2 linked regions of the Nothobranchius furzeri genome follow. The protein of the gene in region 2 purifies or fractionates together with the protein of the main gene of each other region. This does not show direct contact. Links are inferred from orthologs where the notes say so. Each region holds a gene or a part of one and is shown on either strand. Other genes may lie near its edges.

Region 1 (3,759 bases), on a different chromosome or scaffold from region 2:
TTGCATTGATGATGGTCTGACTGCTGCACAAAGCCTTCTCCAGCACTTCTCAAAGATTCTCAATGGGTTTAAGGACTGGACTCTGTGGTGGTCAATCCACGTGTGAAAATGATGTCTCATGCTCCCTGAACCACTCAACCATTTGAGCCTGATGAATCCTGGCATTGTCATCTTGGAATATGCCCTTGCCATCAAAGAAGAAAACATTGATGGAATAACCTGGTCATTCGGTATATTCAGGTAGTCAGCGGACCTCATTCTTGGACCACATCCTGTTGCTGAACCTAGAGCTGACCAGCTGCAGCAACCCCAGATCATAGCACTGCCCCTACAGGCTTGTACAGTAGGCACTAGGCATGATGGGTGCATCATTTCATCTGGCTCTCTTCTACCATCATTCTGGAACAGGGTCCATCTGTACTCAGACCAGTTTTTAATAATGTGCCATCTAGAGTTATTTATATATACACATATGAACTTAAAAGGTTTCTATGCGCGAAGTTGGTTTAAATAATCTGGAGTCAGACATTAAATAAGCTAAATTGATGACAAATCAGAGATGGTACAGGAAAAAAAGTTGTTTTATTTTACATTTACAAGGTGACGTGAGCGAAGGCTAAAATTCACACAAAAGTTGAGGCTAGGGGCTTTTTTCCCCAGTTGTGATTACACGTACCACGCAAAGCCATATTTCTGGTGCAAAAGCTCTTCGCGTGGCCGGAGGTTGAAGAGCTCTTCTGTCAGAGGCGTGACCCAGCGGTCCGTGTGGAAGACGCTCTCGCCAACCTGCATTCATTTTAAAATTACAGTTTGAGTTAGATCACAGAACTAAATCAGTGGATTCCAATTAGACACAATAAAATGTTAATTTGCCCGACTTATTAAAACAATCTAAAATACATTTTATTGTATAAACAAAAAATAAGAGCTGTTTAATTAACCTGATAGTTTGTGGCTTTGTAAAACAAACTGCTGACAGGAACTCTTTATATTTATTGAGCATTTTAATAACTTTACCTTCCAGTCTGGAACATCTTTCATGAGGATCGCCTCCTCCTCTAAGTTTTCTCTCAGCATCCTCAAGGTACTAGAAGAATGAAAACCCAAAACGATGAAAGAACTGATTAGTTGCTCCTGATATTAATATGAAAAAACAGATAAATGAAGTTGTTTTTTACCTTCGGTCAAGCTCTGCCTGCATCAGAGGCATTAATGCTATTCTGGTCTCCAGTTCCTCCATTTCGAAGCGCCTGTGATACGAACCAAATATACCACTATCATCAGCTCAAATGTGACTACTATACAACCTGAAAGCTACATAATTGAGATTTTCTTACCGCCTCTCTCTGTTCCAATTGAACATTCGCCAGTAACCAACCAGCATGACACCGATGCCAATGCCAAACATGCTATAACCTGTTGATTTGTAAAATATATTAGTATAAAATTTTACATGCTCAAATAACTACTTCTTGTTGGTCTGATGTTACAGACGGAATATGGTCAACTTGTATTCATAGAGGAGGAAATGTTTTTATTAATACAACAATATTATTTATTATTGTACAACTGTGTATTGAATTTACAATAGCTTTGGTATTTTCCTATGGTTATTTCTAATGGTCACTTAAAAAGAACACTAGTTATTTTCACTTCTGGACCGAACACTAATGACTAGAGAACTAAACACTGGTTCGTGTTAGCCACCAGTTAGCTTTCGATGTCAGAAACGATTCATGGAGCGATTATGGTATTTTACAGACTTCCTTCTTGCTCGGATATTTGACAATTACCTCTTAATTAAGAGGTAAACATACCAATTCAAGCCTCAAGCCCCCGGGTAGTTTAATTCTGACTTGGAATAATCAGTTTCATGTTGACGCTGAGCAGCTAGCATTAGCCACACCGACAACAAACGTGAATGGTCAACATTTCACCTCCGCTGCGTGGGTCTGTGAAGGTAAATAGGTGAGGGAAATGCGCATTTACCCGAAAGTCCTCGTTTAGGTAGGTTTCTCTTATAGTCAAAGGGGGCATATCCTCCTGTAGGAGGCATGTCCTGCTTCACCTTGGAGCCCGACATCTTTATCCAGCCTCCTCCAACGAACCGAACGTCAGCCTGCTTGATCCACGGAGTCTTCTTCTGTTGGGACACGGACTCTGGTGCTCCACAGCTCCCCCATACGGCCGGAGCCCCTCCTTCTTCTTCTACTTGGTGTTTAGCAGCGGTTGGCAACCAGCTTAATGGAGCATTACCGCCTCCAACTGTTCCGGAGTATGGACCAGACAGTGAGCTCACAATCTAAAACCTACACCTTCACTCTCCATTCCCTCTCATTTAATCCTCCTTCCTTCTTTCCCCTTTTGCACCCTATTTCTTTCCCCTTCCTTATCAACAGCAAAAATAACTATTCCTATCTACACCCCATGAAAAACCCCTACACTCTTAAGAAACTCCACCAAATCCCTCATCTGCACCCTACAACTCGTCAACACGCTCTTCATTGTGAATTCCTCAATACCCCTCTCCCTCATCCTTTTCCGCAGAAATTCCCTTTCCACAAAATAACCCTTACACCACAGAATTACATGCTCTACCCTCTCTTCCTCCTCCTGTCACACTCCACACAACCCAGTCTCACGTTTACCTATCATTTTTAGAGTTTTGTCCAACGAGCAATGACCCAATCTGAGCCTGGTAACAACTACCTCTTCTCTCCTATTGCCCCTATTCACCCCATGCCCTAACACCTCCTTCTTAACATTATATAAATGCCTCTCCTTGCTCATATAATCCCACCTTTTCTGCCACTCCTTCACAATCCCCTCATTCCTCTCCCACAACCGAGTTTATCTCCCAACCTCCTCTGACCTATCAGCCCAGAGGACTCCGTCCTTCACCATCACCCTCCCCTCAGCATCCGAGGACTCCACCATTCACCATGGACAGGAGCCATAATGCAGATGCTGTTTTCAGAAAGGGTCAGAGCTGACTCTAGCTGCTGAGATCTCCTTTGGAATGCAGGGGAGTGCTCCTAAGGACCTTATTTAGTTTCATTCATACCAAATGTGGAACAGATGCGGTCCTGACTCTGTATGGCTTCCTTATAAATCAATCGGTGTGATCTAGGTGTTTGACTCAGTGGTGGCATCAGCCATCTTTTCTGGTGGGGTTAGTTGGGGGGAGCAGTTGGGAAGCCCTTATCTACTGCTGAGACACAGAGATTAGATAAGCTCATTAAGGTGGTCAGCTATGTCCTACTTGATCCAGTGCAGGTGAGAGATGGAAGGACTAGCAAAACTAACATCACTGAGACAATGTCTCCAACCCATACATGAAGCCATTGTGGAGCTGGAGAGTTTCTTAAGTGACTGCATGAGTACACGGACTGTTACTGAACGTCAAAATTTACAACCACCACTTCAAATTTTTGTCTGCCCCCCACACATTTTTGTTATTTGCAGTTATTTTTTGCACCCAGTCATATCTCATTTGCACATTTCTCTTTTCATGTTATCACTCCATGTAAAAATCTGCAAGTCTTTTAATATTTATTTTTAAAATGTAAATTTTTTTGAGTACTTTAAGGATTTTTGTGTATTTGGTGCAATAAAGGGATGTTTTATTTTCAATAAACATTGTGAAAGCATCAAAAATACTTTGCTCAAACTATAACCTGTTTTTCAGCGGCATTATAGAGCTCCTCAAGTAAAGCTACTTGAATGTATGAAGTAAATTGAGAATAAGACTATTTTAGC
Region 2 (4,362 bases):
AAACATTTCACGCACAAGCAGATTTCTGAACATGCAGCCAACCATTTGTTGCTTTTGAGAAAATATGAAACTAGACTCCAGTCAGTAAGAGACGGCGGCTGCTGCAACAATGTTCGGTAAAGCTGGACACATTTGGAAGCTCCTCTGCCGGCTGACCTTGGAACAAAGTGAGTCTGTCCTGCTTTCACTCTCACAATACCACATTTAGTCTCATTTAATATCCAGAGCTTTGCTCAGAGACGGGGGAATCAGACCAGCGGCGACCAGTCTTCGCTCACTAATCAAAAAGTTGAATGTTGCACATGCGTTCGGCTGCAAAAAAAAGTTTAAATAATAAAAACATTTGTGGTTTGAGAGTCATGAAGGCTGAACAAATATTTACCGTGTCCTGCACCTCCACAGCGATGCCTTTACGCCTCAGTAAGGCAAGAACTAAGGGGTTGATTCGCTCAAGCCGGGCTCCTGTTCCCAGCACAAGAATCTCTTCATAAACCAGAAAGAAACATTAAAAAGTGTTTAAGTTTAAATGATTAGCTACATATAAACACACAGACAGAATAAAGAGTAGAAAATACTAGGAATGGTCACCTAAAGTATACAATTGACGCAAGTTTCTATGAGAAATAGCAGCCTGCAATACTATCATTAAAACATGAAGGGATTAGATTAATGGCTGAATTCCTTTACTTTTCTCACTAGATCACTAGAAGGACCATTTAAATACTTTCTGGGGTCTTCTATAGGAGTTTGCATGTTTTTGTGGTCTAGCAATAATACATCATGGAAGCTGCAGCATCATTCAAGCTACAACCTGTTTTAATTCCTTTCTCTTAAAGATGAAGCAGCTAAAAAACCCAAGTTTGAGGTGATGAAATTGGACCAGTGAAGATTAAAACGGGCCAAACACAAACATCTTTATATCAGTGTGCATTCATTCATACCAATTGTTGGTGCAATCATGTGGAAAAGAGAGACGCTTTCCTCTGTGATGTCTTCGTGACTACCAACCTGCAGAACCAGACAGTTAAAACAAACTCTTGATCAGTTTTTGTAAACAGAATGATGTGATGCGGCACACTAATAGCTGTGTAGAACATCTGGAGATGAACCTCACGTTCCACTGCAGGATGGCAGGAGGCAGCAGAGCACAGGGCCCGAGCACCTGGTTACTATCTACGGTAAATCCTATGGGGCTGTAGCTGTGGATCATGATCCCACTGTCTGCCTCCTTCTTCATGATGGACACCGTGGTTTTCTGGTACAACTCATCATCACCAGGTTCCAATCTGTGAGCGCGAGACAGAAATGGGCTGGAAAAAGAGACAGAAAACTAGATTAGAAACAATAATAAATGGGCTTTATTCTGTTGTTTATTGTCAGTGACTTGATGCAAAGCTTGTTTCTAGACTGAAAAACAAGTAACGGACAATGAATAAATCCAGTGTGTGTATATTCTTCCATAGTTTTAATATTCTTAGAAAGTCAGAGGAATGCAGATCTGCCAAACCACCTACTGATGGGGTCCTCAGCCAAAAGCTTAATTTACACTGTACACATCACATTACACAATCAATGCTTTTTAATTTCAACATTAGCTAAATTAGCCAATTAGTCTGTTAGAATATGTAAACACATTTTATTTTTCATAACATTCAACAAAACTTCCAGTAATTGTTGCGGTGAGATTCTTCTTTACTTTTAAGTAAATTCCTCTCTCACTCTGCTCCTGATTCTTTTGAGGTGAGCCTGAAAAGAGACCTGCACCTTAAGCATCAACATGTACACACACAAGATCTTGGTTGGCCTGAGATGAGATGCACACGAGCAGTAACCTGGTAATGTGTTATGATTTTTCAGTTTCCCCCTCAGCCTTTTAATTTGAAAGTTACACAAGCACACACACATAGGGAGGTCCTGTCAGTGAATTTAAACATCAAATGTCATTCTCTACTGAAAGAAGGGTGTTCCTTCTGCACCTTTACACACTTTAACAGTTTATCATCTTTTCTGATCAGCAATAAAAGGTCAATAGTTCAGTTTTCACCAAATAAGGACACTTTCCCTAACTTGTACTGGAACATTTTAGTTATGTTGTGTCCATCTATCTTCTGCTTCTCATTTACATCTGCTTCAGACATACATTTCCTGTTATTTATTATGAACTTCATCACAAGTTCTGCTCAAGTCTGAACTGTAACTACGGCAACCTACTGGACTCTTGCTGTCTGGAGAGCAGTTTGCATCTATTCTGCAACACTTCTGCAAAGTATCACAAGTCACACTTCCTGTAAAGGAAATCTCATTAACATACACATGTGAGCTATAAAATAGTCATAAGACTTTTGAATAATACTTCCACATTATATATGAAGATTTAATGATTGAGCAACACACTTTAAACTGCGCAATTAGACTGAAAATGATTATACTAACTAAAACTGAAAATTACCCTAGATATAAGTAACCATTTTGAGGCTAACCTTAAGTAAATCTAAGGAAATTGAACCGACGAACATTCATAAAGCATCAATAAAGCGGGAAATTTAAACCTTCAGTGAAATAAAAACACTAAAACACTTTATTAAATACTATAAAATAATGCTATACAACTTTAATAAGGCTAATTATCAAAACAGACATCACCTTTATAACACTTTCAATTCAATATCACACCAACTTTTAACTCTGCAATTGACCTTATTTTCTTTTTTAACTAATAGGATTTCTATACTTTTGTTGAAAAAATTAAATTACCAAGAGAAAGCAGGAATTGTATTGGAAAAGGACAGAAATCCTCGAGTCGACCTCTGGAAAAGCATCCTGCTGCACACCGCAGTGGCCATGTTGACGAGTATAACAGGGGAACGGAATTCTCTGTGACACCATTAAGGCAGCTGCTTCCGGTGCTATGCACAGCACAATCGAACATTTCTTATCTCGCCAACAGTGTGTGTGTGTGTGTGTGTGTGTGTGTGTGTGTGTGTGTGTGTATTTAATACATATATAATTCAACTCTTTCTGAAACAAATAATGTAACATTGAAACATATTTACAAGGATTCAAAATGCTGAAATCCTTTCTGCAAATGTAAGATGGAAGAAAAACTATCTCTATCCCTGCGTGTGTACAACACCGTAACCTTACTTTAATCGTCAAGTAAAATGTTTTTACATTTTACATCATTTAATTGTAACTTCATAAATGTTTCCACTTCAAATGAAAATAAATGTATTACACATTTTTCACAATCAAATTAGATTTTAGCTCTGGGTTTGATTAAACTGTCTGATAGGCGTATTTAGGGTGTATCAGTGCCCCCTGTGGCCTGTTCTGGTAGCGCTCGCTCAGGTCAGATGATCCGAGCTACATTGTAAATAGACATGAGCCGCTCACCGTAGACTTCATGGGCTCTTTAAATCACCCCTGCGGAGCAGATCTTTTCATTCGGTTTTTGTTTCATAACAGGTTATTTCTGTGTCACTTTTCGGTTTGTTACAGATAAACTAAATCATGTATCGGTCTCTGTACGCCTTCCGATCCGTGGAGCCCAACTCACTGCACTTCGCGGCCGGAGAGAGCTTTCTAATCCTGGAGAGAAGCAACAAACACTGGTGGTTGGGGTCCCGCTGTAGCTCCGGGGAGACCGGCTACATCCCTGCTTCTTACATCGAAAAGATTCAGGTAAAACTCACTTTTAACCCCCGTTTTTGCCTATTTAGTGAATAGAGGCGAGGCGTGGAGTGGAACCCTGAGAGTGGTGCTGTCTGCAGCAGGGCAGGCCAAGAGCAAGCTGTCTAGTCAGGTGGAAATCGCATGCATTAATTTATTATAAAGGCTGCAGGTCGAAAAGCTGCTGAGAGGACACAGGGTGGGACAGCAACAGATAACAGAGACAAGAAAGCATTGTTTTCCTCTCCTCGTGGTCACACCCCTGGTTATATCGCAGGAACTAGTCAGAGCTTGTAGGCTGTGTCACAAGAAGAGAGCTCCCTCCTGTACTTGATAACACCGTCTGTGCAGCTTTAATTAAGCCTGAATGTAGGGTGTTGTTAGATCACAGTCCCATTTTTTCCCAGCTTGTCCCAGTTTGACCCAGTCACACACTTAATAATCCTGCATGCTGCCACAGTAATGAATGTTTCATCCCTTCAGCTTCTGTCGATGTGTTTGTGCCAGGCTCCACAGCAAGACGAGGTCCTGCAGTCCATCGATCGAGCCATAGAAGGGATCCACAATGTGGCCTTAAAGAACGGAGGCAAATACAACCTGGAGCAACGAGATGTCCTGCAGTGAGTCCAAGTCAACATCAGAAACATGGTGGGGATTCTGATGGAGGATTTATGAGTACTATTGTTTATGTTT

Evidence for each region.
Region 1: the proteins of ndufaf3 (region 2) and ndufa13 purify together in Homo sapiens (co-immunoprecipitation; 3 studies listed by BioGRID and IntAct, with this or other methods). This does not show direct contact. The link is inferred for Nothobranchius furzeri from reciprocal best matches to the Homo sapiens genes NDUFAF3 and NDUFA13.

What each region holds. Positions count from the first base shown.
Region 1 is NC_091751.1:56,690,014-56,693,772, reverse strand, and holds ndufa13 (NADH dehydrogenase [ubiquinone] 1 alpha subcomplex subunit 13), read right to left. Parts: upstream 2,294-3,759; 5' UTR 2,084-2,293; coding exon 1,990-2,083; intron 1,417-1,989; coding exon 1,338-1,416; intron 1,251-1,337; coding exon 1,179-1,250; intron 1,088-1,178; coding exon 1,018-1,087; intron 787-1,017; coding exon 667-786; 3' UTR 564-666; downstream 1-563. UniProt on the Homo sapiens protein: Accessory subunit of the mitochondrial membrane respiratory chain NADH dehydrogenase (Complex I), that is believed not to be involved in catalysis. Complex I functions in the transfer of electrons from NADH to the respiratory chain.
Region 2 is NC_091743.1:68,499,915-68,504,276, reverse strand, and holds the start of ndufaf3 (NADH dehydrogenase [ubiquinone] 1 alpha subcomplex assembly factor 3), read right to left. Parts: upstream 2,911-4,362; 5' UTR 2,844-2,910; coding exon 2,755-2,843; intron 1,311-2,754; coding exon 1,115-1,310; intron 1,009-1,114; coding exon 942-1,008; intron 484-941; coding exon 383-483; intron 313-382; coding exon 211-312; 3' UTR 1-210. Other genes in the region: nckipsd (NCK-interacting protein with SH3 domain), read left to right, coding at 3,511-3,681, 4,177-4,289. UniProt on the Homo sapiens protein: Essential factor for the assembly of mitochondrial NADH:ubiquinone oxidoreductase complex (complex I).